3 linked regions of the Tamandua tetradactyla genome follow. The protein of the gene in region 3 interacts with the protein of the main gene of each other region in a biochemical or structural test. Links are inferred from orthologs where the notes say so. Each region holds a gene or a part of one and is shown on either strand. Other genes may lie near its edges. The genes, in order: REV3L, ubiquitin D-like and MAD2L1.

What was found.
Region 1: the proteins of MAD2L1 (region 3) and REV3L form a complex in vitro, tested with the Homo sapiens proteins (2 studies listed by BioGRID). The link is inferred for Tamandua tetradactyla from reciprocal best matches to the Homo sapiens genes MAD2L1 and REV3L.
Region 2: the proteins of MAD2L1 (region 3) and ubiquitin D-like form a complex in vitro, tested with the Homo sapiens proteins (2 studies listed by BioGRID). The link is inferred for Tamandua tetradactyla from reciprocal best matches to the Homo sapiens genes MAD2L1 and UBD.

Annotation. Positions count from the first base shown.
Region 1 is NC_135331.1:170,321,900-170,332,567, reverse strand, and holds the start of REV3L (DNA polymerase zeta catalytic subunit), read left to right. Parts: upstream 1-6,478; 5' UTR 6,479-6,992; coding exon 6,993-7,131; intron 7,132-7,613; exon of another isoform or gene 7,614-8,506; intron 8,507-10,668. UniProt on the Homo sapiens protein: Catalytic subunit of the DNA polymerase zeta complex, an error-prone polymerase specialized in translesion DNA synthesis (TLS). Lacks an intrinsic 3'-5' exonuclease activity and thus has no proofreading function.
Region 2 is NC_135331.1:84,202,135-84,211,969, forward strand, and holds ubiquitin D-like, read right to left. Parts: upstream 3,811-9,835; coding exon 3,784-3,810; intron 2,526-3,783; coding exon 2,058-2,525; downstream 1-2,057. Other genes in the region: putative olfactory receptor 2I1, read left to right, coding at 1-292. UniProt on the Homo sapiens protein: Ubiquitin-like protein modifier which can be covalently attached to target proteins and subsequently leads to their degradation by the 26S proteasome, in a NUB1-dependent manner.
Region 3 is NC_135348.1:48,645,039-48,654,815, reverse strand, and holds MAD2L1 (mitotic spindle assembly checkpoint protein MAD2A), read right to left. Parts: upstream 4,706-9,777; 5' UTR 4,551-4,705; coding exon 4,478-4,550; intron 3,771-4,477; coding exon 3,624-3,770; intron 3,230-3,623; coding exon 3,109-3,229; intron 2,331-3,108; coding exon 2,227-2,330; intron 1,553-2,226; coding exon 1,380-1,552; 3' UTR 671-1,379; downstream 1-670. UniProt on the Homo sapiens protein: Component of the spindle-assembly checkpoint that prevents the onset of anaphase until all chromosomes are properly aligned at the metaphase plate.

The sequences.
Region 1 (10,668 bases), on a different chromosome or scaffold from region 3:
GACCTTATTCAGAAATTTTTTAATAGAGTATAGGAATAAAAGTAACAGATCTGCAGTTAGGAGGCAAGCATAGGTCCTTGCTAAATAGGCTTCCTTTCTTTGGGCCTCAGCTTCATCTGTAAAATGGAAGCAATGAAAAGGAGAAAAACATGGTTGTAAATTGAACTTTCAATTTTTAACTCAATAAATGTTACATACATACATACATATATATATTTGAAGCCAGGATATAAAAAAAGACATGGTCCCTTCCATCAGGTAGATACATCTATTAGAATGACAAATAAGAGACTATAATAATATAAGAGTTATAACTGAAGTATGCATAAAGGGCAAGTGGAAGTGGCATTTTAGCTAAAATTGGAAAGAGGAATTGCCAAAGGCAAGAAGGGTGACGGTATTCCAATAAGAAAGGCAAAAGCAGAGATTCCATGCTTTTACAAAAAGAATGGCATGTTTGAGGAACTATAAGTACTTGAGTAGTTCTCGAGGATAAAATGGAAATGCAGGTGAAAAAATAGATGAAATTGGATATCTAGGCCAAACTCCATGAGGCTGTTTGCCATGAAAACTTTTTATACTTAAATTTATGTAGTAGACAGATTATTCTTGCAGTAGTGTGGAAAATAAGATTGGAGGGGAATGAGGCAAGAGATCAATCACTGCAGTCATCCACCTAAAGAGATTACGTGGACAGGCATGGGGATTATTCAGCAGAGAATGAGTGGGACTTTAAGTCAGAATGTTGGGGGAATTTAAGCTAAGGTTTATTAAACATTTTGCTAAGCACGTTTTTTGTAATGCCTCATTTACTCCTTATAACATCCCTAATAGGGATAGAAAACAGGCCAATTTGCTAAAAGCTAATTTGCCAAAGAATCACTTTGCTAAATTTACTAAAGACTTGTTTTAGGGTGTATTATCTTGAATATATTTAATAATGAATTCTTTGGCAAAATTACTTCTTAATGAACCAGTTTTGGTGAAATGACCTAGAACTTAATGTCAGCATATACAATTATTCCCATTTTACTGAGGAGAAGCTGAGGTACACAGTTAGCAAAAGAAGTGCCAGGTCTTCAGAGCCAGAGTTTTTAATCCCTAAATGGCTAATAGTTATAGGGATGAAGGAGATGGAATGATCTGGGACATCTTGTTTCAGCTATAATATGCCACGATGTTAATATTCTTAAATGAAGAACTAAAACTTTGAAAAGCAAAATAAATAGAATTCAGTATAATATGAATATCATAGCTTGTTAGAGCAGATTCTTTAATTTTTCTTTGGAGCTTTTTTCCCATTCAGCAAAGTGATGAAAAAATATAATGAAGGTAAGATGGTTCTCTTTGCTTTTATGTGGTTACTCTGCTCTTTTCTTAACTTACCAGAAATTGTCTTCTGTCTGGAGTCAACTACCAATTATATGCATGTGACACATAAAACACACTAATGGCCTCTAAACTTTCCTCCTAAACATTTGTTTCCTCACCTACATTATAATAAATATGCATAATACAAGGCTATTCAAATTCTGTAGATGCCTGTTACCACAGTGACAAATGAGATAATATATGAAAGTTAACCATCAAGTGCCAGTAAACCTATAGGTGGTATTATTTTTCTGACAATGAGGAAAAAAGTCCAAAGGTACAAGGGAGCATGTTTATGAGCAGAGGAGATTTGTGCATTGTGTGTATCTGTTCTTGTGCACCGTTTGCACATAGCCTTCAGGAATTCCTCAGAAGTGCAGAATTCTGGTGGATTTCAATGTGTGGGAATTCAGAGAGAAACAAAAAAAAAGTCAAGACAGGAACTGCAGAGCATTAAACCAAGCAAAGGGCCCTGTGTGACTGTACAGGTAGTGTGCCCATGAAGTGGACCCTGAGCTCAGTATTTCTGCTTTCCTTAGTTATGAGAGTTTGACGTATTTTTAACTTGACTCTGTATTTTGCTCTGCTTATTGACAGTCCCTAGCAAAAACCACACATGACTTTTCTCATGTCTACAATGATTATGATTCCTAGCTGCAGAGTGGAGACCATTCTAGGAGTTCAATGGAGAGCAGTAACCCTTCTTTGGGGACAATGAGAAATGAATGGGGCATTTCCAATTGTCACAGTGGCATGTGGCACAAGGGACATTAAATATCCTACACAATGAAGAAGTGTTCCATCCAAGATGCTAGGAGAAGCCCCTTGAGAAACAGAGTTCAGGGTCCACTTCATGGGCACACTAACTATACACTTGGGCATGCTACCTGTACAGTCACACTGGGCCCTATGCTTGGTTTAATGCTCTGCAGTTGCTGTCTTTAATAACTGTATGTTTCAACTTATGTTTTGTATGTTTGAACACAGGTAGAAGGTAACAGTGTTATGTCTGTGACTGAGTAAATGGAGGCACTGAGAGATGAGAGGTTATGCATTCCATGAAACTATAACCTGCTTCAAATGCAAGAATGAAGTCAATAGCATTCTAAGAAATACAAGTGACTGAAGAACCCTATTAATATCCTTTTAATTCATGTGGACTTCTCTGTATTAGCTAACCATTTATGCTGAAAATGATGACTGAGAAGAGGATAGATAGAGCAACCCATAGTTCTCTTTCCTTTTAGCCCTTCCTTAGAGAATGTAGGTAGGATATGTGCATATCACAAAGGGAAACAGAAACAGTTTAGCACTGTGCAGTGCTTACAGTATTCTGGTAAACGCAAAATACAGATGCATGAACAAGCTAAGAAATAAAAACTGTAATTTCAGTGATTCCACATGAGGTGAATGCTTTTGCATTTGCTGGTAAAAATGGCATTGCACAATATAAAGATGGATAAGAAGCAAATTTTAAAAGTGTCATGACAAGCTGAGGGAGAGATAGTGGAAGAAAAAAGCTTCATAATTTAGTGCATATAATGGCATTTTTTTCTGCTTTTGGAACAAGGGCTACACGTTTTCATTTTGCATCAGGTCCCACAAAGTATGTAGCTGCCCCTGGCTGAATTAGTTAAAGCAGAAAGGGATTAAAAGATATTATTTAGCTCATAGATCTCTGAGAATACCCAAGAACCAGGCTTGGATAATATACAGCTAAAAACAACATCCAGGAAAAACCAAACCAGGAAGAAAAACCATTCCACACCACATGGCTGTTCTAGAGGAAGCTCCTTCCAACATCACCAACTAGTCAGCACCTCTGACTCCTGAAATGGATACTTGAACTCCTCCCCAGCTTCCCAAAAGAACCACACATCTCCACCATGTTTTTTTCCAGAAGATCCCCTCTCCTTGAGTGTAGCATTATTTTGCTCGCTTTCATATCTAAACCTCGAATGATCACATCTGATTGACAGAAACTAGGTCATGCAGTAATGTGCTGAAGTTGGCGCCTGACTGTGAACTAACTTCACATTTAGAGGAGCCACTTTGGTAGCTTAGGGGTATCTATCTGTGTAATGAAAATTGGCTAAGGCTACAAATCAGAGTCCTCCTGGTTCCCCTGCTACTGTTAAATATTAACCAGACACCACTGGTTTCATGCCAACACTCTAGCTGCAAGGGAGTCTTAGAACCTTAGTTCTAATTTTCTAGCTTCTCAAGTACAGAAAAGCAAGCTAGAAGGGGGCTGGATGAGTGTTGAGTGAACAATCTTGGAGGATCTGCCATAAAATTGTGGTAGCTATTGCCTCCTGTCCTAGATTATAAATTGCAAACAAGATGCTAACAAACATTAAATAGGGTTGGTATTGAAGGCTGAGCAAGCCTTACAAAAGCATGACATGATGAGTATAGGTCAATGAAACAGAAGAGTTAATAAAATGTTAAAATACATTTCTGTGATACTAGATTATAAACTCTAAAAGGGCAGGGATCATGTCTGTCTTGTTTACCACCATATTTCAAATCACCTGACAAATGTGTGGCCACTAAACAACAAAAAGATATTTTAAGATATTAGGTATAGATTCAGAGTTCAGTTTTGGCATTTATTATATACTAGGTAGGTAAGACAATTCTAAGTGATTTTACTGTTTCTGGATGAGTTAGATTTCTGGATGTCGATAGTTTGCTATTACACGTTCACATACATTATCTCATTTGAGCCTTATAACATCCCTGAGAAATTAAGACAGGAATTACTATCCATTTCATAGCTGAGCGAACAAATTCCAAAAAATAAAATGACTTCCAAAATTTATTTGGCTAGTAAATAAATGATAGCTTATGATTCTCATGTCTTAACTCAAAATTTCAGTGCTCTTACTTCAGGAAAAGTGTTTTCATAAAATAAAATCGATAGTGATTAATTAGGGGAATGTTTTCAATTTGAGCATCAAAAACTAGATTACACGCAAGGTACAACATCCTCATTTCATGCTGCAAATGTTTTTCCTAGAGAGTGAACATTTTCTTGGAGTTCTAGGACTTGAACTATGGTTGTAATTGCCATTTCTTAAAGTAAATGATTCAAGAGGTAGGGGGAAAGAGAGCCTCTTCTATTAACAGCTAATCTGTGAATTTGATGCTTTTACCTGTTTCTAGTTAGGAAAAGTATAATTGAAAAATTATGGATGCACTTGATTATAAAACAGTACACAGGTTCTCAAATTTTATTTTATTGCTTAAGAATCATGGGGTAGAGAATTGGATTATTATCAATACAGATTACCAGGCCCTATTCCAAAAAAAATGATTCAGTAAGGATCAAAATATTAAATATTAAAAAACTCAGTACAATAGGACACTGAAATCACTGGAATTGTGCATGACATTTAGCTTGTATAAAATATTTACTAGAAAATGCATTTTTAGCAAGGTAGCCCTATTTTTAAATCATTTCTAAAATTTTGTATCAATTTAAGAATTTTTGCATCTTAATGTTTTTAGGTACTTCCTGTGCTTTAATAGAAATCTTGCCACCTATGTTTATAATTATGCTCTGAGGTTAAAAACTGCAGACTAGTTTACTGTGGTAATCAGTTTCAAATCTCCTGGTGTATAAATTCTTACTAATACTTATGTTTTGGAATTTATAGACAACCTATTTGCAGTGACCTGTCCTTTAAGCCTTTTGATTTTTCTATTTGAAGAGCCAAAATGTTTCCAAATGCGGATCTCCTAAAGTACTTTAAATATATGGTGACCGACTAACGCTTATAATGCACCTGTGTATTTGTGTGAAACAATGCTCTCTACTTTGAATGGATTGAAAATAACTGTCAAAGTCCTAATTCGGGGCATATTTTCAACTTGAAACATGGTTTCTGTCTCCTATTGCTTAGAATCATTTTGTTAAGAAGAAACCCTTAAGGATTAGTTTTAAGAAAAGCCCTCTCATTTTATGGAGTAGGAAAAGGAGGCTTAGAGAGACCAAATGACTTGTCCAAGGTCACGCCCAATGTTAGTGACCATATATATCGGACAAAAACCCATGGGTTCCAATTTAATGGCAACCCAGCTTCACCTGCTATTTCATCACCTCCTCTTTTTTGTTTTAATTCCACAATTGCCTTTCTACTTCATCCCTCTTGATTCTCGGATAAAGCTATTTTCTCTAATAGTTCTTTTTCGCTTTCTTGCCTTCGGGTTGTAGAACGTTGCAAAAGGTTTTAATCAGTAACACTTGGAGTCCACATCTAATGCGGGGCTTTTCCTTCGGCCAAAAATTTCTCTGAGAGTATCTTAATCCTGCATTCCGCTAGGGGAGGACCGGGAGGAGGGAAGTCACTGGGAGCTGACAAGTCCTTACATGTCCAAACACCCGCCCGAATCTCAGGCTGCGGGGCCGAGGAGGAAACCAAGGAAGGATATACGAGGGCGAGAGGGAAGGAAAGGGGCGGGGGAAAAACACCACGGTGGGAAATCCCAGTACACTGGATCTGTCAACCCCTGGCAAAGCTGAGCAGAGCCGGGCGTGCATAAATCTCATTAACTTGCCCGGCGCAGACACTGCAGCAGCAAAGAGGAGGGGCGAGAGGGGCGAGGCGGGTTGGGGCGGCGCACTAAGCAAAGCGCCTGAGCCGCCCTTTTATAGGCCGAAGCCCGCGCTCGCGCGTCCCCGCCCCTCCACCCCCCGGGCCACGCGCGGGAGCCGCGGCGCTACTTGAGAAGGGTCGGTTTCGCCGACCGCCCTCCCGCGAGGCCGCGAACGCACGAGATCTACGCCTCGCCTCCCTCCTCCCGCGGGCGGGCTTTCTTACCTTATAAAAAGCCGTCTCTGCCGCTGTCCCCTTCTCCTCTGCTGGATGTGAAATGGCGGTCCGCGAGGCAAGCTTGAGTACCGCAATAGTGGCCAATCCCGCGTAATCGCCAAAACGGCCCTGAACACTGGCACTTCCCTCTCGCAAGCCCCTTGGAGCCCATCCATGACATCGGCGCTCCGTTGCCCCTCACCCAGGTGACCGTGCCCACCGGCCGAGTCATCGATACTCCGCGCCAGGAGCGGGCCTTGCTTTTTGCCAACCACCTCCCTCGCTGCGTGCCCGCGGGCGGGGAGAAAACTCTCTTGGCGCCCCCCTCAGTGTCCCGTTCGGACGCCCCGCTCCCCTCCCTTTCCCATCGCGTTCCCTCCCCCAACTACTCTTGGCCCTCCCTTCACCACACACACAACCCTCTTCTCCCCTCCCCCAGTGGTTGCGTCCGTGACATCATCATCATGGCAACAAGAGCTGCAGCCTGGGACCGAGGAGCCCGTGTGATCCCCGGCGGCGGCGGTTGTGGCGGCAACACCAGCACCGACGAGACCGCGAGGGCTTCTCTCTTCCTGCCCCTCGCAGGGTGCTCCTGAGGAGGCGGCGGCAGCAGTGCCAGCATCGCCCCGCCCGCCCGTCGCCGCTCCTCACGGCGTCTGTGTGTGAAGGGAGGGGGCGCCGCCGCCGCTGCTGTGGGGCCGCCTTTGCTGAGGGATCCGGAGCCGCCGGAGCCGCCGCCGCCGCTACTGCTGCTGCTGCTGCCGAGTTGCTAGTGAAGGGGAGGCGGTGGCGGCGGCGGCGAACATGTTTTCAGTGAGGATAGTGACTGCCGACTACTACATGGCCAGCCCGCTGCAGGGGCTGGATATCTGCCAATCCCCCCTCACCCAGGCCCCTGTCAAGAAGGTACCAGTGGTGCGAGTGTTCGGAGCGACCCGGGCAGGTAAGCGGGCGCGGGGCGCGGGCGGGAGCCGGCGGGGTGCCCGGGCCGCCCTCCTCGCTGCGCACACGCGCACACGCCGCCGGCGCCGGCCCTCTCTGGATCGCTGCTGCGTCTTCCCTCCCCTCCGCCCTCTTCGCCTTTCCTCTCGTGCATGACAAGAGGCGCAAAAATGTGGGTCCGCGCGAGCGCTGCGCCCCCCGGGCGGGGAGGCGGGGAGGCGGCGAGCCCCGAGTGTTTACACTGCGCGCGGCGGAGTGGAGCTGGATCCGCACTCGCGGGTCCGGGGCTGGGGGGGCGAGCTTCGGCGAGGAAGGGCCAGGTGGCCGCGCCATGTCCTCAGTGCCTGGGTTCGCGTGGCCCGGCTCTTGAGGTCGCTCCCTGGCGGGAGCACGGACACCCTCTGCGTCTTCCAAGTGCTCTTTTCTGGAAATAGCCTTATGAGGAGAGGGGAAGTGTCAGCTCTGCTGTCAGTCGCTCTTTTAGCAGCGCTCTCCTCTGCCCCTGCCGGAGATGCTGGGGGCTGGAGAGAGTGGAGCCTGGGGCCAGATAATCTTTTTTCATTGAAGCGACCATGTGGTTCTGCGGTTAGTGCAGGTCGTGACTCAGAGGCTGGGCGGCTTTCTCAGGTGCATTGCTTTCAGGAAAATGTGAATTGTTGGAAGCAGGAGATGCGTGTTTGTTTCCTAACACAAATCATCCTATTTAATGAGTTGAATTTATTAGGAAGCACAGCTAAACCCAGCAGCCCAAACATGGAAAAATGCCCTTCTGTTGGGTAGTAGTATTGCCATTTGAATACGCACATTAAGAAAGCAATAATAATATTTTGAAGAAAGAATGGGGTTGGGAGCCAGCATTGAGAGAAACTATGTGCTCAAAAGCTCTTGGGAGTTTATGATAATATCAATAGGATAGTGACCAAATTTATGAGGTGTTTTTAATTGCTTTGCTTTGCTTCATCCTTTGAACTGCCTACGTGAAATAACGGAGCTGCCTCCTAGAAGGAGGTGCCCTCACCTCGTAACCATGTATTGCTCTATGGGATTTTAAATAGCGTTTCCCACTTGATGCTCCTTGCCCTCATCACCATTCATCTTATTACTGTCAGTTTCTGTGCACTACCAAGATAATAGTACTTTCCCAGACATAAGCTTCCTTCTAAATAATCTTTTATTGTGAATTCTCTTTGTTAAAAATTTCAGTGGAGTTAGTGAAATTTGGTAGAGTATTCCTGTTTAAAATAATAGCGAAAACGATCTTGATGATATGGACCATGTAAGATGGAGAATTTGGTGTTAGCAATTCGTTGAAAGTGAAACACTTGAAACTTGGATCACGTTGGAGGCTGGAAAATAGATGCAAAGTGTTCTGAAGGGTAGGTTTTTTGCCCTTTGAAATACATAGCCGTGCTGTCTTTATTTCTAATGGGAATTTCTGTGAAATATACTGTTTGTTCTCACTTCAGGTGCGGAGAAAGGATAAGGTAGTGATGTTGATGTAGCTCTGTTCAGCAGGTTTCCAAATTATAAAGTGAACATGCTAATAGAATATACTGTGACATTTCTGTGATTTTCAGCATGTATGGTTTGAGTTACCTTTCTACACTTTTTTTTTCTTTTATATGAGTCATCAAATAGTATCCCTGAGTGATTTTCAAACTCTGTGTTTCAGGAAAGTTTTGTTTGTTAAATAAATGAATTTCACTGTAAGCTACACTAATTCTATTATGTGAGAGAATACTCTTTTTAAAAATAAAGACCATGAAGTACTTTTACATTTTATGAATATAGTAAAAATGGAAATGTAAATTATTTATACTGTGATGAAAACAATTATTTCTCCCCTCCTGGACATCTTAAATTGACTACCACCACCATCACTTTGAAATGCATAATAAATTAGAGTTTATAGCTTTCAGAAACGAATCCAAGATTTTTAGTATGTCAGAAACTCCCAGTAAAATTACTGTTAATTAAAGGTAAACAAATTGCAGAATTGTCTACTTTTGTATTCTGTCCCTAAAGAAAACCCATCCATGTCATCCAGAAAAATGGCCTGTTTGGCTTAGTAAAAGTCTGAATTCTAGAATTTTTAGTGGAAACAGATTTGAAAGTATAAATTATATTTATATAGACTAATAAAGTGAGTTAATGAAAATTTGCAACACATGGAAAACCTACTCTACATTAACGTATCATCAACAAGTCTTTCACATATAGGAGTTAAGTTTGGAAACTTTTATTTCTCTACTTTGGCTTGGAAAAAAAATGTTTTAAAACTGAATTCACTTTACAAATGAGATTCTCAAAGATAGTAGAAGAAAAATTTCTCAAATTAGGTGGTCATTTCAGAATTATAAATTCTAGTAGAGAGTGGATCGAGACAATTTTACTAGTCCAGTTTTTCTACAATTGCATCAAGTGTTTTTCTGCTTTAGAAAACAGTCCAGTTGACTTCTGATTGTCCTGTGATTTGAGGACATAAAGAGTAATTTAAAAAACAAATTAATAATGCGTGTTGGGTTTTAAAAGTTCCTATATCTCTAGTTGGTGGGATTTGAAAAGGTGTAATAAAAAGTGGCATATTCATATTTGAAGGGTAAATTCTAACTGAATGATTTAATCCTTTCCTGACTGAGGATATTGAATTCTCAGAGTTACTTAAATTTTCTTAGTGTGAGTGATGGAATTTTTTTAAAAAGCTCATCTGCTTTTAACTTGTTAAAAAAATGTCTTTAACGTTGTTTTGACATCACAATGTATTAAGCAATATCATTTGTAGAAATGGTAATTATATAACAACATTTTGGTAACATATTAATGGAAGGAAGTAGTCATGAGTAATAAAAACACAGGACAGTGTTTTTTTACTTATAATGTGGGTATAACTCCTTTGGGAATTCACTTCACCTAAAATCCTGAAACTTCACTGTGAGGATTTGACTCAGGTGGGCCTGGGAAGGTGTTCACATCTTGCTTAGTTGCTTGATGTAACTCACTTCATGCTGAACTGGGCAGCTTTCTTAGTTTTCCCAGCACCAGGTTAAACAGAATTGTTCTTTCAAAGGAAAAGGGCTTTCCTGCTGAGATGGAGAGTAGGAGTAAATAGGAGAGTGTGAGATGTCCACAAAGCAGATAATTAAATGAAGTAGACCAAACAGTCTATAGAGGGAGCTGCTTGTCTTTAAGAGTACTGTAAGACATTCTGCCAATCTCCCCTCTAAACCTTCCTTTAGCTCAGTGAGTATTTTAGTAGATTGTTCTTAATAATGACAAACATGAAATCAAATTTTCAACATAAGAAATTGATAATTCTGAAATGGTGTATAAAATCTATATAGATGATTATTCGGATTGCACATGTATATATTCTTATACTCTGCATTTTATTAACTATAATAAATTACCAGAATAACCTCACTTTTTTGTAAATTGGTGGATTATTAAATAAGTATGAAATATGTAATATCTACTATAGCTTATATAGATATAAACTAACATCAATAAGAGAGATTACAGATAGTTTCTCTAATAAAAG
Region 2 (9,835 bases), on a different chromosome or scaffold from region 3:
CGCCGTGGCCCGCGCTGTGTGGGGCATGAGGAGCCGCGGAGGCCGGAGGAAAGCAATGGGCACGTGTGGGGCCCACCTGACCGCCGTCTGCCTGTTCTGTGGCTCGGCCATCTACACCTACCTGCAACCCACGCACAGCTACAATCAAGGGCAAGGCAAGTTCGTCTCGCTCTTCTACACCATGGTCACGCCCGCCCTCAACCCGCTCATCTACACTCTAAGGAATAAGGAGGTGAAGGGGGCAGCAAGGAGGTTCCTGGGGAGCCTGGAGAAAAGGCAGGCTGGACAGTGAATGGGGAAGGGAAGGAGGAAACTGTCAGCCCAGGACCCAGGAATAGAAATGCTGTTGGAGAGTCAGTCAGTTTCGCTTCAAGCTGTTCATTTCTGATAGAAAATCTGCAAGATTTGTCCTCAGGGAACCCAACGTTAATGGGGGAGATTAACCCTTCCCATTTTCAGGTAGTGTTCAGATTCATGAGGGAAAATCTAAATATCTTCTCTACATAGAAGTTTGGGGAGGAGGAAATGGCCTTCGAACTTTTCTCCCAAGCTGATAAGGGAGGAGATATGATTTCGGGAGATCTCCTTATCCTCAGGAGACAAGTAACAATCCCTGCAGACTCCATGTGTGCATGAGATGATGTGTGACTTGAAGCTTACCGTTATTAGCTTTCTCCCAGTTTCTGCTATCAGGGGTTCTCAGTTTGATAAGGAACTCATAAACCTTACCCTGCATGAAACTCCATCCAGAAAAAAGGAGCCATGGTGCCTCTTCTTGGGGAAACCATCCAAACGGGGACATAATACCCACCTGGCCAGGTGACCAGTGCCCACGACAGGGCACCTGACCCAGAAGAGTAATGAGGAACACTCCTAAGTGTGATGAGTTCTCCTGGGTGTGGTTAAGTTGGGAAACCCACCTATAGGAAGTGGTTCTGAGCAATTTTTAAAGAACAGAAGGGACTAGAACTCATGAAGAATAAGGTAGGCATGTCTCAGGTTGTGAGAAAAGATGAAAGTGACAATCAGCAAGACCTGAGAGTCAGGCTGTGAGGCAGAAGAGTAAATGGAGGGAGTAAGATGGAGGACGTAACTCAAGTTTCCAAGAGAGGAGCAGGACCTGGTGGTGAAGGAAGTAGAAAGGAAAAGGCCCCTTCAGCAGAACTTGGCAGAGTTCTGGGGCCAGGCCAGAGGTCAACCCTTTACCCCCTCATCCAGACTGATACCTGACCTAAAGAAGACCTGCCACACCGTAAGACAAACAGGACAGAGACTGTCCACATTCCTCCACCTTTCAGAAAGTCCATTCCCTCCTGAAACACATCTGACCCCAAGAAGTCCCCACAAGAGGCACAGACTCTCTAGCTCCCCATGGAAATGAGCTGCCATGCCCACTGTCATCTACAGAAATAAGAACAATTCTAACTGTTATGGGACATGCAGGGTAGGCAAGGCATTTCTGTGCCAGGTTTCACTTTATATCAAACAGCCTTAAATAGAGAGAAAGAAAGTTTAATTTAACTTCTAATTTATCTATGAATTAGATTGTGATCTAGTCAGAGTTCAGTTAATAATTCATTTCACTGTTCTCCATGGAAATTCAGTTTAGTTCAGCAACTATTGAGTGATATTTTACATGAAGCACTGAGTCAAACATAAATGGAAAACATAGAAATTAGAAAAGCAGGGATCCCAATTTAAAACTTAATGTCTTGTCAGATAAGAAAGGAAATAGGAGTTTCTCTATGAATCAAAGGGAACCATGAAATAACTAAATTACAAACTGGATTTGAATGTTGTCTCTCATGAGCCTCGGCAGTTCATTTCTATCTTCATTAACACCTTATACACTATCCTGCCTTATAATTATGTTAAAATCAAAGAATAATAAAGGTGAAAAGGTATTCTGCAGTCTTCCTTCCCACCCCACCCAAATCTTAAATTCTATATTTATCTATTTATTCCTCTTGGCAAACTAATAAAGGACATGATTGGTGAGTAAAAGCTAAAAGGAAATAGTCACTTTTTTTCCTGAGATCACTCCAATACAAGGGCAATCATCCCTTAATTGAAGGAAATGCCAGGAAGAGTAAATTCCCCTTTCTAACGTCATAATCTGCCATGGTCTTCCTATCTTCTGGTCTCTTTCCATTGCAAGTCACAGTCTGGGTCTCGGGCCTGACATGGTCTATGTCAATCATCTCTTTCACCTGAGCCACTGAACTGGACCTCCACACCTGGAGAAGTTGCCTCTGCCCCTCATCACCTGACTCCACCAGAAATATGGGAACTTCCTCATCACTGGACTTCACTACCTTCAGGGAGAGGTGGATGGTCTTCTCCTTGTCGATTCCATAAGATGAAAGCCTTCTTGGGGGCTTTAGGGTCTTCGGACCCAAAAACAGGACGTGGTCCTGCACAGGAACCTTGGTCCTAGAACTGATATGTTCACTGATTATCTTCACTGAGTCATTTATGTTGGCAGTGAAGGTCATTAATTCCCATTCCATGGAATGAATGTTCACCTTGGCAATGAGAACCTAGAGGTGGCTTCCTAGATTATCTGCCACACGTTCAACCCTACCTTCATTGCACCTCCCCTTCTACTGCCTGCTAAGCACTCCTGCTCTTTCCCACCAATCAGTGACCCTTCTTTTCTTGGCACTTCTCTTTTGGTACTGCCTCCAGACCCAGGTATAAGCCAAACAAGAGAAGGCTCATTTCTTCATAACCACACCCTATATTTATCCCAAAATATCATTAATGATTTCCCACTTTATTTTCCTGACTCCTATTGAGGTAAAATGTGGCAAATGTCAAAAAATAAATCCAACTAGAAAGCTTAAAAAAAAATGCACACCAGACTCTAAAAACAACTCCCAAAAAGTTTTCAAGATTTGACAGCCTCCTTGGATACTCATGGAGATGTTCTGCAACTACTTTGGAAGGAAACTGGTTAGGACACAATCGCTTTGCTGTTACTATCTGATTTAACATTTAATTACTTTATAATGATGTCACATATTTCTGTGACATTATATTCAATGTTACATGCCAGTTTTTTTTTTCTTGTTTTTGTATCTACCTATCATAGAACGTGATCTATATAATCAGACCAGAGCCTCACGGAAGATGGAGACTATATCCGAGTATTACTTCAATAACTGGAAAATTCTGAAAGATGGGCAGCTCATTCCTGTTTTATCGCCCAAAAGCCTGGGAGGAGCTCCTTCATAGCCCATTCAAAAAAATTTCCCCAGCTTACACGACACAGACTGTGTTAGTATTCCTCCACTGGAGTGTCTCTACTCTGTGTTGAGTGATGCCCACATTCCAGGTTGTCTTCATAATGCATATGTTCTTATTGAAGGTAATATATTGGGTCATTAAAAACATGAGAAAAATGAAGATTTCCTTTGGGAGGAGAGGGAAGCTTAAACTTAAGAACCCTGAATACTTAATCAGGATAGGAGAAAAGGACATAAGAAAAAAATTCCATAATTTGCCAGCCCTGTTGAACACAAAGTCTAGTCCACTTCCTACCATTTATCCCTAACAGTTCAAGATCTGACACAAAACAGAAATCAGGAGCCAAATGTATGACTTCTCTCCACAACAACCTTCTGCCCACTCTGAAAATAATTCCTTTCTGCTCACCTTCAAGCTGCCTTCTGGGCTATCCTACTCCCTGAGCACCATCCCTATTCAGTTCCTTAAATCTGTGCCCCCCTGAGCAATTAAAGGTGCTTTTCCTTTCCCCACCCTTCTCAGGTCCCAACTTACACAGACGCAGGGAGCATTGGGAGCCATCTCTGCAGTCAAGGCAGTAGAAATACGAAGATGAGAAAAAGACAGCTATATACAGGTAATCGAGGTGGAAATCCCCTGCCTGGACTGTTGTGTTTATCTTTAGGCAGCTTTACTGTACCCTTTGTTTTTGATACAGTCTCAGAAATTTTCTCTCACTTTTGCTGGGGTGGGGTCAATAAAACAGAATACTTTCTTGATCAGACATTTTTCCCCTCACCAATCCATTTACACACTTCATTCGAAGCACAGTATGGTCCTCCTTTGTTCAGAGTTTCCTTCTGTTAACACCCCACCTCCACCCTCCTAGTCCTGATTTATGATTGTGTAACTCTCAGCTCTGAGCTTCACTGGCATGAAGACCTAATCTGCTAGGTGACCCTCCTCTGCTGCTTTTATGAATCCTCCATCAGTCAGGGGCTGTCCTGAGAGCTAGGGCACCTAAAAGAGGACAGTCAGGGATGGTGTTTTGAGTGGCCTGTTCACAGCGGCAGAATGTGTGGAACTTGTCTTGAGAGGACATATAATAAATAACCCTAGACTGAGAAGAGACATGAGTTTGAGTCCCAGATGTGTCACTTGCTATATTACCTTGAGCAGGTCTGTTTACCTCCTTGGATGTTGGTTTCCTTGTCTAAAAAGGAAATGAGAGAATTAGAGAGGATTCCTAAGTGTCTTCCAGGCTTAGGAAAATATTTATAAAATGTCTTCACAGAGAATTTTACATTTCTGAGTTTTGAACTCACAAGCACACTACCTACCCTGTTCCAGAGCCTGCAACCCAAATCTATTACTTCATAACAACCCAAGACCAACAATGGAATGCTGACTCCCATCTCCCGCACACCAACACATTCACACAGCCACTCTCATACCATGGTGCATCCAATGCTCTCCCTTTCCCTAGGACTCTCCCTACTACCGTGATCTCAGAAAACACCTAAAGATGCTGTTCACTCCCTTGCTCTTGAGAATTAAACTGAGACAAAAAGGGAGTGCTTGAGCTGTGTACCCACAAGGGATTTGTTGGATCACTCTAACCCTCTTAACATTTCAAATTAACCACTGGCGTCTTCCAAACCATCCCTCCATTGCAGTTTTTTTTAAATAAATATATAATTTATTAAAAGTGCTTTGATATTTTTTTCTCAGGGTAAAATGCCTATAAGAATGTCAAGTTGGGGGGCCAAGATGGCAGCTTAGCAATGTGCACATTTTAGTTCATTCTCCAGAACAACTACTAAATAACCAGAAACAGTACATAACAGCTCCCGGAGCCACGATAGTAGCTGGACACACAGCGTACCCCAGTCTAGACCAGCTGGACCGGCTGCGAGTCTCTGGAACCGTGAGTTCCCCAAGCCGTGGCAGCCGGCGTGTGGCACCCCTCCCCCACAGGTGGCTTCCCAGAGGGAAAGGAAAGACATTTTAACAGTAGCAGGGACTGAGTCCAACCAAACACCAATTGTGGCATTAATAAACAAATTCTGACTACGTAAAATAGGCCCCTAGCTCAGGCGAAACTGGTCAAGGCAGAGGTTGCTTATTGGGCTAACCAAAAAAGAGGAAAGGGGGTGAAATGGAGGCTTTTGTGGCTGTTTCTATGGAGGCTTGGCTGCCTCTGGATTCAGCGGCAGGACTACACAGGTTACAACTGCCCCAGGCATATGCAGAAATGGATGGCTTCAGGGCTATCTCCAGGCTGAGCCTTCCCCAGGGGAGGGGTGAAGCCCAACTCAGGTGGAATCCCTCTCTCAAGGAATTCAGAACCCAGGGCTTGGCAATTTGAAGCCATTAAAACCAGCCTAAAACCTCTTCTCTGTCTCCACCACGCCCCCAGCAGGGAGAGCCTTCCAAAGTTAAAGGAGCCACAATATCTTTTGTGGTGGGACCTGCAGATAGACAACCACCACATACTGGGCAGGATAAGAAAAACAGAGCCCAGAGACTTCACAGGAAAGTCTTTCAACCTGCTGGGACTCACCCTCAGGGTAAGCTTATGCAGGTGACTCCCTCCCCCTGATAGGAGGCCAGTTTAGTCGGGGAAAACCTGGCTGGAGTTTGTAATACCTATGTAGACCCTCCTAAGGGTGGGGAGGGAAAAGGCACCTTACAAGCAGGACAAGAAACAAGAAAACAAGAACTGAAAAATTACCCTCTGTTAAACAAAACTTAAGCTACAGGCCCAGAAAAAGCTGAACTGAAGGTCAAATAACAGGTAGACAACAAACTCATCTAGCAAGAAAACCCTAGGTAAGATAAGTGAAAGCAATCACCAGAATAAACTAATTAAGGTAATTAAATGTCTAGACACCAGCAAAAAATAACAAATCACACAAGGAAAATTGAAGATAAGGCCCAGTCAAAGGAACAAACCATTAGTTCAAATGAGATACAGGAGCTGAAACAGCTAATTCAGAATATACGAACACAAATGGAAAACCTCATCAAAAACCAAATCAGGGCGGGCCGCGGTGGCTCAGCGGGCAAGAGTGCTTGCCTGCCGTGCCGGAGGACCCCGGTTCGATTCCCGGCCCCAGCCCATGTAAAAAACAAACAAACAAACAAAATATAATAAAACAAGAAAATGTTTAAAATGTTTCCCTTTCTTCCTCCCTTCCTTCCTTCTCTGTCTTTCCTTCCTTTCCTCCCTCTCTCTAAAAAAAAAAAAAAAAAAAAAAAAAAAAAAAAAAAAAAAAACCAAATCAATGAATTGAGGAAGGACATGAAGAAGGCAAGGAAGGAACAAAAAGAAGAATGGAAAGCCTGAAAAAACAAATCACAGAACTTATGGGAATGAAGGATACAGTAGAAGAGATGAAAAAAACAATGGAAACCTACAATGGTAGATTTCAAGAGACAGAGGTTAGGATTAGTGACCTGGAGGACAGAACATCTGAAATCCAAAAAGAAACAGTAACTACAGGGAAAAGAATGGAAAAACATGAGCAGGTACTTAAGGAATTGAATGATAATATGAAGCGCACAAATATACGTGTTGTGAGTGTCCCAGAAGGAGAAGAGAATGGAAAAGGAGTAGAAAAACTAATGGAAGAAATTATCACTGAAAATTTCCCAATTCTTATGAAAGACCTAAAATTACAGATCCAAGAAGTGCAACACACCCCAAAGAGAATAGATCCAAATAGATGTTCTCCAAGACACTTACTAGTCAGAATGTCAGAGGTCAAAGAGAAAGAGAGGATCTTGAAAGTAGCAAGAGAAAAGCCATCCATCACATACAAGGGAAACCCAATAAGACTGTGTAGATTTCTCAGCAGAAACCATGGAGGCGAGAAGACAGTGGGATGATATATTTAAACTACTAAAAGAGAAAAACTGCCAACCAAGAATTCTATACCCAGCAAAATTGTCCTTCAAAAATGAGGGAGAAATTAAAACATTTTCAGACAAAAAGTCACTGAGAGAATTTGTGACCAAGAGACCAACTCTGCAAGAAATACTGAAGGGAGCACTAGAGACAGATAAGAAAAGACAGAAGAGAGAGGTGTGCAGAAGAGTGTAGAAAGAAGGGAAATTTAGATATGACATGTAAAATACAAAAGGGAAAAAGGTAGAGGAAAGTACCACCCAAACACTAATAGCACTAGATGTTAATGGACTGAACTCCCCAATCAAAAGAAATAGACTGGCAGAATGGATTAAAAAACAGGATCCTCCTATATGCTGTCTACAGGAAACGCATCTTAGACCCAAAGATAAACATAGGTTGAAAGTGAAAGGTTGGGAAAAGATATTTCATGCAAATATCAACCAGAAAAGAGCAAGAGTAGCTATACTAATATCCAACAAATTAGACTTCAAATGTAAAACACTTAGAAGAGACAAAGAAGGATACTATCTACTAATAAAAGGAACAATTCAACAAGAAGACATAACAATCATAAATATCTATGCACCAAAGCAGAATGCCCCAAAATACATGAGGCAAACACTGCAAATACTGAAAAGGAAAATAGACACATCTACCATAATAGTTGGAGACTTCAATTCCCCACTCTCATCAATGGACAGAACATCTAGAGAGAGGATCAATAAAGAAACAGAGAATTTGAATATTACAATAAATGAGCTAGACCTAACAGACATTTATAGGACATTACACCCCACAACAGCAGGATACACCTGTTTCTCAAGTGCTCATGGATCATTCTCAAAGATAGACCATATGTTGGGTCACAAAGCAAGTCTCAACAAATTTAAAAAGATTGAAATCATACACAACACTTTCTCAGATCATAAAGGAATGAAGTTGGAAATCAATAATAGGCAGAGTGCCAGAAAATTCACAAATACATGGAGGCTCAAAAACACACTCTTAAACAACTGGTGGGTCAAGGAAGAAATTACAAGAGAAATTAGTAAATATCTCGAGGCGAAGGAAAATGAAAACACAACATATGAAAACCTATGGGACGCAGCAAAGGCAGTGCTGAGACGGAAATTTATTGCCCTAAATGCCTATATCAGAAAAGAAGAAAAGGCAAAAATTCGGGAATTAACTGTCCACTTGGAAGAACTGGAGAAAGAACAACAAACTAACCCCAAAGCAAGCAAAAGGAAAGAAATAACAAAGATTAGAGCAGAAATAAATGAAATTGAAAACATGAAAACAATAGAGAAAATCAATAAGACCAGAAGTTGGTTCTATGAGAAAATCAAAAAGATTGATGGGCCTTTAGCAAGATTGACAAAAAGAAGAAGAGTGAGGACACAAATAAATAAGATCAGAAATGGAAGAGGAGACATAACCACTGAACTCACAGAAATAAAGGAGGTAATAACAGGATACTATGAACAACTTTATGCTAATAAATACAACAATGTAGATGAAATGGACAACTTCCTAGAAAGGCATGAACAACCAACTTTGACTCAAGAAGAAATAGATGACCTCAACAAAACAATCACAAGTAAAGAAATTGAATCAGTCATTAAAAAGCTTCCCAAAAAGAAATGTCCAGGACTAGATGGCTTTACATGTGAATTCTACCAAACATTCCAGAAAGAATTAGTACCAGTCCTGCTCAAACGCTTCAAAGAAATTGAAGTGGAGGGAAAGCTACCTAATTAATTCTATGAAGCCAACATCACCCTCATACCAAAACCAGGCAAAGATATTACAAAAAAAGAAAACTAGAGACCAATCTCTCTAATGAATATAGATGCAAAAATCCTCAATAAAATTCTAGCAAATCGAATCCAACAACACATTAAAAGAATTATACATCATGACCAAGTAGGATTCATCCCAGGTATGCAAGGATGGTTCAACATAAGAAAATTAATTAATGTAATACACCATATCAACAGATCAAAGCAGAAAAATCACATGATCATCTCAATTGATGCAGAGAAGGCATTTGACAAGATTCAACATCCTTTCCTGTTGAAAACATTTCAAAGGATAGGAATACAAGGGAACTTCCTTAAAATCATAAAGGGAGTATATGAAAAACCCACAGCTAATATCATCCTCAATGGGGGAAAATTGAAAACTTTCCCCCTAAGATCAGGAACAAGACAAGGATGTTCACTATCACCACTGCTATTCAACATCGTGTTGGAAGTTCTAGCCAGAGCAATTAGTCAAGAAAAAGAAATACAAGGCATCAAAATTGGAAAGGAAGAAGTAAAACTATCACTGTTTGCAGACGATATGATACTACACGTCGAAAACCCGGAAAAATCCACAGCAAAACTACTAGAGCTAATAAACGAGTACAGCAAAGTAGCAGGTTACAAGATCAACATTCAAAAATCTGTAGTGTTTCTATACACTAGTAATGAACAAGCGGAGGGGGAAATCAAGAAACGAATTTCATTTACAATTGCAACTAAAAGAATAAAATACTTAGGAATAAATTTAACTAAAGAGACAAAAGACCTATACAAAGAAAACTACAAGAAACTGTCAAAAGAAATCACAGAAGACCTAAATAGATGGAAGGGCATACCATGTTCATGGATTGGAAGACTAAATATAGTTAAGATGTCAATCCTACCT
Region 3 (9,777 bases):
TTAGGATTAAAATACAGCTCTTCTAGGGTACATAAATCCTTTCAAACTGGCAAAAATGGCTAAATTTTATGTCTGCTTGATAATAGTGAAGATTAGTTAATACAGTTAACAGCTTAGAATAATGCCTGATACTTTATAATAAAGTGAATTATTACAAACTGAAGGTTTAGAGTCAACATTAAAAACGACTTCTTGTAAGTGTGCTTTAAACTGAAGGCAAAAAATAGGTGGAACCTCAATAGAAAGTATATATATGATGAGACTATTAAGGGAGGCACAAGCACAGGAATAAGTATGGTTTAAGCAGTATACAAAGAAAACTAGGCTGACAATAAGAAAAAGAAGGCTCTATTAGGGTCAGTGAGAATCTTAGAAATAAGGAAAGAATGTAAGACTAAAAGTATAGAAAGGTATTAAATCCAACATTTGCTGAAGTGAACTAATTTAAAATGAAAGTTATCTTTTTATCCAAAGAAGGATGTTTAAGTATATAGTTATGATGTGACAGGGGTATTATCAAAATTGTCCATTACAGTCAAAGTACTTCAAGACTCTTATATCCTTAGGACCTAAAACCTTGTAATTACAATAAATCATGTGCTTTACTGAGCCCATCTAGCTACCATTTAACTGTATTAACACATCGATATCAAAACATTTTAAGACAAACTTAAAACGTACAAATTTAACTTTATTTCATCATAGTCATTTAAAGCTTGATTTTATAATGTCCAAGATATTTTGAAGAAGCGTTCTGTAGCAAAGGAAATTTAACAGTAGAAAGATCCATGGCTTTACAGGTACAAGTTATATACATTAAAATCAAATTATCAAACATTTTTTCAACATAGGAATTATACAACTAAATAAATGGCAAAAGGAGCTAATAAAGCAATGTTTCATAACTGGTGTTATGTTTGCTCCTTTCAGGATCTGAACAAAGATTCTAAATATTCAGATATTTTTTGCTGTATTTTACATTTAAATATCTCCTTACCTATATTCTGATTCAAGCTGTTCAGCCAAAATCTATGATTTAGGATGTCCTTTAGCTTTATAGCAAAAGTTTTCTCATCTATGCTGACAAAATCAGCTGGTTCCCTTTGGAACAATGTGCAATATGCTTTTGTGTTAATCTATTTAGCCCAACACGTTAACAAAGGGAATAAATACCTTACTCTCCTCTAATCCATGATGTTAATCCTATGGAGAGTCAAATCGGTGGTAAAAAATGGAACAATTATGCACAGTTCATAAAGTATAATGTTGATTTTTCCCTACCTATAACCAACAAAATAAACCTATCATCTAGAATTGATTTAGTTTCAGGAAAACCACATTTGAGAATTGCAAGTACATTATTTTTCTCAACTCATCCCTCAGTCATTGACAGGAATTTTGTAGGCCACCATGCTATTTACTTTGTGAATTGTAGTAGTAAATGAACGAAGACGGACTTCCTCAGAATTGGTGATAAACTGTGGTCCTGACTCTTCCCATTTTTCAGGTACAACCAAATCTTTGTCTGTATAAATCAGTAGATCAAAAGAACCTAAATTGGGGATAAAATAGGTTATTGTAAATTATTTTTTCAAAAGCAAAACTACTCTCCTTATCTCCCTTACTTTAGGTCCAAAGGGTTAAAAAAAAAAAGATGGTTTAACCTGAATGCTAATCACTAATTTATTTTTCTCAATGGAAATTCATTTTAATACAAAAAATACCACACTATTCTACCTAATCTGAAGAGAAATTCAAGATTTTTTTGTTTTTTTCAAAGAGGAAACCATTTCTAAGATACACAGTAAGTTTATAATTACATAAGACATGAATGTAAGGCACAGGAAAGCTAACACTTTGGTTTGGATCACGACTATATCCTAGTTGCCCAAACAATACCTGGCATATACCAGGCATTGAATAAATATTTGATGAATGAAGGACTAAGTCTGAATAGTCAGACATAGTTATAGCATAATCTTACTCATATAAAATTAAAAAATTGAAAGGAATTACATCAAAACATTCAAGAACGAGTATTATGAAAGACATTTCTCTTTTTTAGTATTTCCAAATTTTCTAGAATGCTTATATATTAGGTTTACTTTATATGTATATATACTATTTTCACTTTTCCCCCTACTTATAAACTAAAGAAAAAATGTAATAAAGGAGTGATTCTTAAATTAGTAGCTTAGTATGAGAAATTGCATAATATAAACTTACAAGAAACTTCCAATAGTGGCAGAAATGTTATTGTAGCTGTGATTTGTCTGATCACGGAACGAATTTCATCTTGGATAGCTTTCTGAGACTTTTCTCTGGGTGCACTATCAAGAAAATCAAGTCAATTCATTTTAGGTTTTAACAAGTCATTTAAAATATAACAATAGCAATAGCTAAGATTATCTGATTAAATGCTTCTGAAATAAGTAATGCATCAAAAAGAAGTTTAAAAAAAGAATGAACTTAGTAGGTACAATAAGCATCATTATTTCATCAGTTCTTCCAATCATAATATCAGGTCATTTAGTATCAGATGTTTAGAAAACTGCCAGCATCTCTGAGTTAGGAAAACTTCAAGACCTCCTAAAATAAAATTAATAAATGGTATCTAAAATCATTTTGGTACAATCATTTTGACATTTTTAATAATGCTTATATATCTACCTCCCAATTGCTTCAAATAAAATATCAAATTAGTTTCCTGAAATACACTAAAGGCTTTAGAAGCAAACCATGCTCCATAATGAGAAATAATTATGCTTCTGAGTTTACAGAAAAGCATATGTAGGACAATGGTGGACATCAGCATATAATGACAGGCACTTCTTATCCAGGCATTAGATTTAGACTTTTTTGAAGCACCTTAGGAAGTTCATAGCTTAAAGGAAATGCAGCAGAGCTGCATGTTAAGCTGGGGAGAGCCTAGGAAAATCTCTTACAGTTAAGAGTACCTTCAAGCACAATTCCTTAAATGGTCCACTTAGTACATCTTGCAATTTCACATGTAACACCATAAATACTAAAGTTATAATTTTAACTCATTTAGGAATGAAGACAAGTTTTGGAAAGAATACATCAGAGTAAAAATAATTTTATTCATACCTCTCATCTTTTGCAGTCTTGTCACACTCAATATCAAACTGCCATCTTTCAAGGACTTCACCACTTTCAATATTTGAGATGACCACAACCAGTTTTTGAACTGAACACTTGTATAACCAATCTGCAACACATAATAAGGCATTTATGTTTGTTCCACTACATTGCAAAGCAACCCTGCCTTTTCAGGTCCTTTTCCCTTTCTCAGCAAATTCTTACCACTGGTCTTTTGGAACTTGTCTCATTTGCTCAGATAACTTGTCCCATTAACAACCCAGCTCCTGTTCTAGTTCATGTAATACAAGATGCTGAGGATAGAATAGCCCCATTCAGAATGCAGAAGGGTAGGATTTCCCTCAATCTATATATTATTTGCTTCTTCTCATTGACAATAACAATATTTGAGAAGGTAGTTTGTTTTACCTCTCCCAAAGGGCTGAAAAACAGTCACCAAGATGCTAGAAAATCTGGATCTCAGAAGGGATGCAAAACTCAGACTGTTTACAACTAACAAATACCTTTTAGTTGGTCCACTACATTATTTAGGTATTTTATGAGCTCAGGATCTGTAGTTACAAGCAAGGTGAGTCCATATTTCTGCACTCGAGTAAAGGTTTCAGATGGATAGATGCCACGCTGATATAAAATGCTATTGATTCCAAAAGCTGAAAGCAAAAGAAATGTTATAGAAAAATCATTATCATTTTGTAACTTTGAAAATGAAACATCTATATAGATGTGGATAGTTTCATTAATGCTCTAAAACTGGAAACATGAACACGCAAATACCCCTACTTTCTTGAAAGCAAAATAGGTACAAAGTGGCATTACAAATCCTTGGCAAGACTTTGTCACCCTGTTTTCTCCCAAATCTTGCCAGGCACCATCAGGAGTCCCGACTACAGAAAGCCTGATCAAGAACACTGCTTCCCACAGTTCACGCTTGACTCAGAACTACCTGGGGGTGGGGTGCGGAGCCAGGAAAATATACACAGGGACCCACTGCGTCGTCCTGTGCCCTAAGCCCTGGAGTCCTCGGTCCCAGGGAAGGGCCGAGGGCGGGGCCGGCACTCACCCCCGGAGAAGGGCCGAGGGCGGGGCCGGCACTCACCCCCGGGAAAGGGCCGAGGGCGGGGCCGGCACTCACCCTCCGGGGCCCAAGCTCCGCCGCCGTCAGCAGCGCGCCGGCGCCAGTCTCCAGGACCTGCCCCTGGCTGAGGCCCTTCCTCAGCAGGAGGTCCGGAGGCTGCGGTCGGGTCGGTTCGCGACCGCCTGGCGCCCGTGGGCTGCCCCTGCCTCAGGCCCCACCTCGGCCTTCGCGGCGGCGCGGCCCGGGCCTCGCCTCTCCCGCCCGCCGCGGGAGTGGACTTACAGAAGAACTCTGCCACGACTTCGGCGCTCCCGCGCAGCGTGATGCCCTGCTCCCGGGAGAGCTGCCGCGCCATGGTCCGGAACAGAGAACGCTTCTTGAACAGCGAAGAGCGGCCACGGCGACCACAGCAGCAGTTCCCGCCGCTCGTTTCAAAAGTAACTACGCCGCACGCCGGAGAGCCTTTGCGCAGGCGCGTTGAGCCTCCACTCCTCCCTCCCGCCTCTGCGCAGGCGCGGCGAGCCTCCACGCCTCCCTCCCGCCTCTGCGCAGGCGCAACGAGCCTCCACCCGCCCTCCCGCCTCTGCGTAGGCGCGATGAGCCCCCTCCCGTACGCCTACCGCCCCACGCCGCGAAGCCTGTGCGCATGCGCGATCCCCTTCCGCCTCGTCCGGGCTTTTCCCGCAGGCGCGTGGGAGAGCGTGGCGCTCTGTGACGCGCAGGTGTTCGCGCGTGGGTCCTCTGGTCGCGTCAACTAGATGAAGCCGAGGGAAGGAGGGAGATCCTGATGATGTGGTCGCTCACTAGGCCTGTGGATCGCACAGGCGAGGGGCACACCGGCCCGCGGGACTGCCCGCCTGAGGCGAGGCGGCCGTGGGGACGCCGCCGCGACCCTGTGGGAAGTCGGACCATTCTCCCGACGCCTCGGCGAGTCGTCCTCCGTGTGTGAGAGAACTGGCCGGGGGTGAGAGGGCGAGCCCAGCCCGAGGTGGCGGAGCGAGTCCGGGCCGCGCCGGGGTGAAGGTCATCCCGCCGCGAGGCCGGTCGCGCCGAGGACGTCACGGCGGACTGGGCCCACACGTTCCGGGGCTCTGCCCGTTTGGGTGGGAGGGTCCGGAGATTCTGCACGAGTAGTCCCCATTCAGTTGTGAAACGATTTTCCTTTGAGACAGCCGGGGAATGGGCTCGTAAAATGCAAACCGAGGACTTTGACGTCTACCAGATGCTATGTTTGATTACGTAGGACGAGAAAGGCCTGGCAGTGTGCTCATGTTCTCGTTGCTGCCTAACACATCCCCGAGTTTTCACTAAGACCCCCATTTAGCCCTCGGCCTGCGGGTGAGAGTGCGGGAAGGGCCCGCCGACTCGAGCTGAGATCCGGGTGTCCGCACGCTGGGGCTCCGTCGGAGGGCGCGGGCCCCTCGGCCTTCTGGGCCTTCGGGTTTAGTCCTGAGGTCCAAGTGTCCGGCCTCTGCATGGACTCTGCCGTAGGCTCCCTCCCTTGGGGTCTCTGTGACTCCAGGACACACCTGAGTAGGTCAGGTCCGCTCAGACAATGTCTTGGTTAACTGGCCCCAGAAGTGACCTCTCTGTGGACGAGCTCTGCAGGCGGTCGGTCACATGGCCTGCTCGCCAGGCGACTGGACTCGAAGCCGTCTTGAAATCCCAGGGCTGGATTAGTTTGCAGAGCGGAGTGTGTGTGTCATGGGAGATGGGCAGACTTGATCCAGTAAGGTCTTTTCCTTACATCCTTTTAGTCTGTGTTTTGTTTTTAAATGACCAGTTTTGGTGTGAAGAGCAAGACATGATGGAAGGTGAAGAGTGAAGGGGCAAGGAATCTAGATGTCTCTCACCCTTTCTACCGGAGCTTGTGCTAGGGCTAGAATTCTGGTATCAAGCGTTAGGGCAAGGCACCCACCTTTTTCCATTTAAAAATTGCCTTTGTTCTTAAGAAACTTTTTGCTAAAAGCCAGCACTTCAGGAAAGACTTCCTTGGGTTTCATGATGATATGGGTTGTAAATTACTTGAAAATGTTAAGTAATTGTGCTATAACAAATTTAAAGGTTAGGAAAATATATGAGGTTTTCATGTATAGAAGAAATATTTATTTAATGTTTTCTTTGTACTCTGAGAAGATATAAGAAATGAGTAAGACTTGGAAGACGTGGTTTATGCCAATAATTAATATTGTTTAAATATGCATTCTCTAAAAAATATTGAAGGCTCTCGAATTTGATCTTTTCTGGCTTTTGCCTACCTCTGCAGCTCCCTTTCAGATTACTTTTCTAATTTGTCTGCCTCTTTTAGTAACTTTGCATTCCATTCCCTTTTCCACCTCAAGGCTTTCCATAATAGGCTGTCTTCTACCTAGAAAGTTTATTTTGCACTTGTGAATCCCTAATATGCTCACACCCCTTCTTAACGTAAATGAAGAAAGTTTCTGTGACCTCTCACGTTAAGGTCCTTTATGTATTCTCATAGCCTCTCATAGAATTGCTTAAAAGCGTTTGTTGCATTGTAAATAGTTATGTAGTGATTTATATTATATATTCCCTATTTTTGTGTAGGATTGGTGATGGCATTTAGTGAGTGCCCCACAAATATTTGTTGAATTAATAAACATTTGAATATTTGTCTAGAAAAACGAAATGGAACAACCCAACAAATATTTTCATCTGAGAGCAGGTCGGATGGATGAGGTAAGGCCACTTTTAGCCATCTTTGAATACCCACCTGGGTTGATTAAATTAGAGGCATCATGGAGTTCTGGATTCTTAGGGTTGACATAAAAACCTAGCACTAGTTATGTAAAAATTTCTGAAGGTAGAATCAAATGGAATTTTAGAATTGATGTAGCTTAATTAATGACTTAGTTGCATAATCTGAAATGAGAAAACTTAGGTTCATATTGACTGTATAATTATGCTGAGTTTTTAGTAGTGAAATCTATACAGTACCTGACTTACTCTTAAAAATGATGTCTGTTTGAAGATATGCTTAAAGGTGCTCTTTTTTTTTCTACATGTTACTTTGAAAAAATTAAATGAAGTTTAGGCTGTTTTTTAACTCAATAGTATGTATACATAACTTGTTACAAAGATTGCAGTTCAACTCCAGTTTAATAAATTTTATGTTAATACAGAAATAGTTCCAACTACCAGAAGATGGCACTGCTTGCATGTGAAATAATGCTTTTTAAAAATTCAATCCGAGTGTCTGTTTAAGTTAAAGGTAAAATAAATAAGTAAATAAAATTATTTAAAGCAGGAGTAGGCAAACTAAGGTCTACTGGTCAATTCTGAACCAAGGCATATTTTTGTATGGTCCACAGCTAAGAATTTTTTGAAGAGATTGTTAAAATATAAAAAAGAGAAGACTATGCAACAGACCTCTGTGGTGCAGAGAACTTAGCATTTATATTCTAGCTGTTTACAGAAAGTTTGCCACAAAACTGATCTAAAACACTGGATAAAGTAATGAAGTAAAAATGAGTTCGGTAGTTTCTGAGGTAAACTTATATATGGAATACTTAAATGAAATGTTGCATCATACTATATTATATAAAACTGATTTTCCTTCTTTTAAACATTATATGCACATATACACAGACATATTTATACATACTTGTATATATGAAATCTTAGTATATTTTATGTTTACATTTAATTTTCATATTAATTTATTACCTGGAATTGAAAATATTTCAGTAATCATTTTCTCATAGACTTATGATAGTTTCCCATCAAATAGCCAGTTATTTTATTTATAAGGTCAATATCTTGAAATAAAGCAGTTTGTTCTAAATCTGGTAAACAGTGGTGTACTTTTCTGTATGATTCCTTTGATAAGACATACATCTACCTATTTGATTATGCTTGTTTGTAAGATTAACTCTTGTTTTTTTAGAACATTTTTGTCCTAAATCTTAGGATTATTCTATGTGTTATATCATTTAGATTATGTCTTATTTTATGTGAAGGACAGGAATGAAAATAAATCGGTTATTTTTTACTCTGATTACTTGGGCTTCATTTTGTAGACCTAATATATGTTTATATATTTTTATATACTTAAGGATTAAGCTGAAAATACAGATCTTGTAAAGTTCCAATTTCCCTCATAGTAAGTTTTTGATCATTGGCCCACATGTCCCAAAGATAGCACAGTGAATTTGAATCATGACTTTTCATAGATAAGCAATGGCTTAATACAGTAAAAAATAGGTTTTGAATGATCTAGTTGTATATATAGGATTTAAAAATTTTATTCTTAGTACAAATTAAGTGCTAAATATTAATAAAACATGTTAAGATGAAAAACCCTAAGTTCATAAAATGAAAATACAGGCTATTTCATAACAGAAAACATGTTGCATAATCCTTTATTATGATAGGGACATATAGCCACATATAGAATTTTCATAGCTCAAACATGATTAGCTACCAAAAGGTATACTTTCAAAGGTAAATAATAATATCTTGATTTAATTCCCAGAGCCTTTTTGATGGATACATTACAGATATATTTAACTATACATTAAGCTATAGTTTCTCCCTTAATTTCCCAATTTATCCATTCAAAATATGTTCTGTAGTTCATTGGGTTTCAAAGCACAATATATTTCAAAGTCACGATTGAAATTCAAAAGAACTCAGAACAGTTTCAGATATATAAACTGCCAACACAAAGCCTCTGTGAAGAATTAATAAACTATGATTACTATTAGAATTAACAAAAATAAATTTAATGTGTTAGATGCTTTTTATAATTATGTATTAAATTTGGGCAAACATTTTATGCATATATGCATATGGTATATTTTAGCTAGTTGCTTGTGAATATCTTGTGCGTGGGTTATTTTTATAATTGCCAGATAAATAATATAGGTGAATTAGTTATGCTAAATCTACTAATAATAGACTTATATGTGATTTAAGTAGAAAAATATTTTTGAGAAGTTCCATACACAGAACAAAATTAATAAATCGTAACTTTATTTCTTTCTCAAATATTTGTCAGTACCATTTATAATTATAGGCATTTGAAGGAGCAAAAAGCATTCTGAAAACAAGAAAATCATTTTACTGTAAATATATTTTGTCTATTTAGAGAAACTTGGCTTTTTCAACTGAAATAGTTTTCTATGACTTGTCTTGTGTTTATAGCTCATTCAAACAATGCAGTAGTCAAGCAAAATTTATCAAGTTACAGATCAGTCATGCACGTTAATTCTATCTTTTGTATTGGAGTTTTCTGTTTATAAATAGAATATCACAGTGTTTCTTATTCTTGAATAATGTACATAATCCTTTAGCATCAACCAGTAACCTAAAAGGCTTACTGAGCTCCAGAATTTTGGCTTTAAATTTGAAGAACTAGTGGATGAAAATTAAATGGTGTCATTTCATGATAGCTTAGTCCCCAAATGGATGTAAACACAGACTCTAACTTCTTGGCAGTGAAATAGATGGCAATAGTCTGTTTTAAGATGGTCTTTCAGGTGACCCAGAATGAATCTTGATGTTACTTTGTCATAAAAATGAAACAAAAATTGAGAAAGATTCACATGAGTGTTATATCT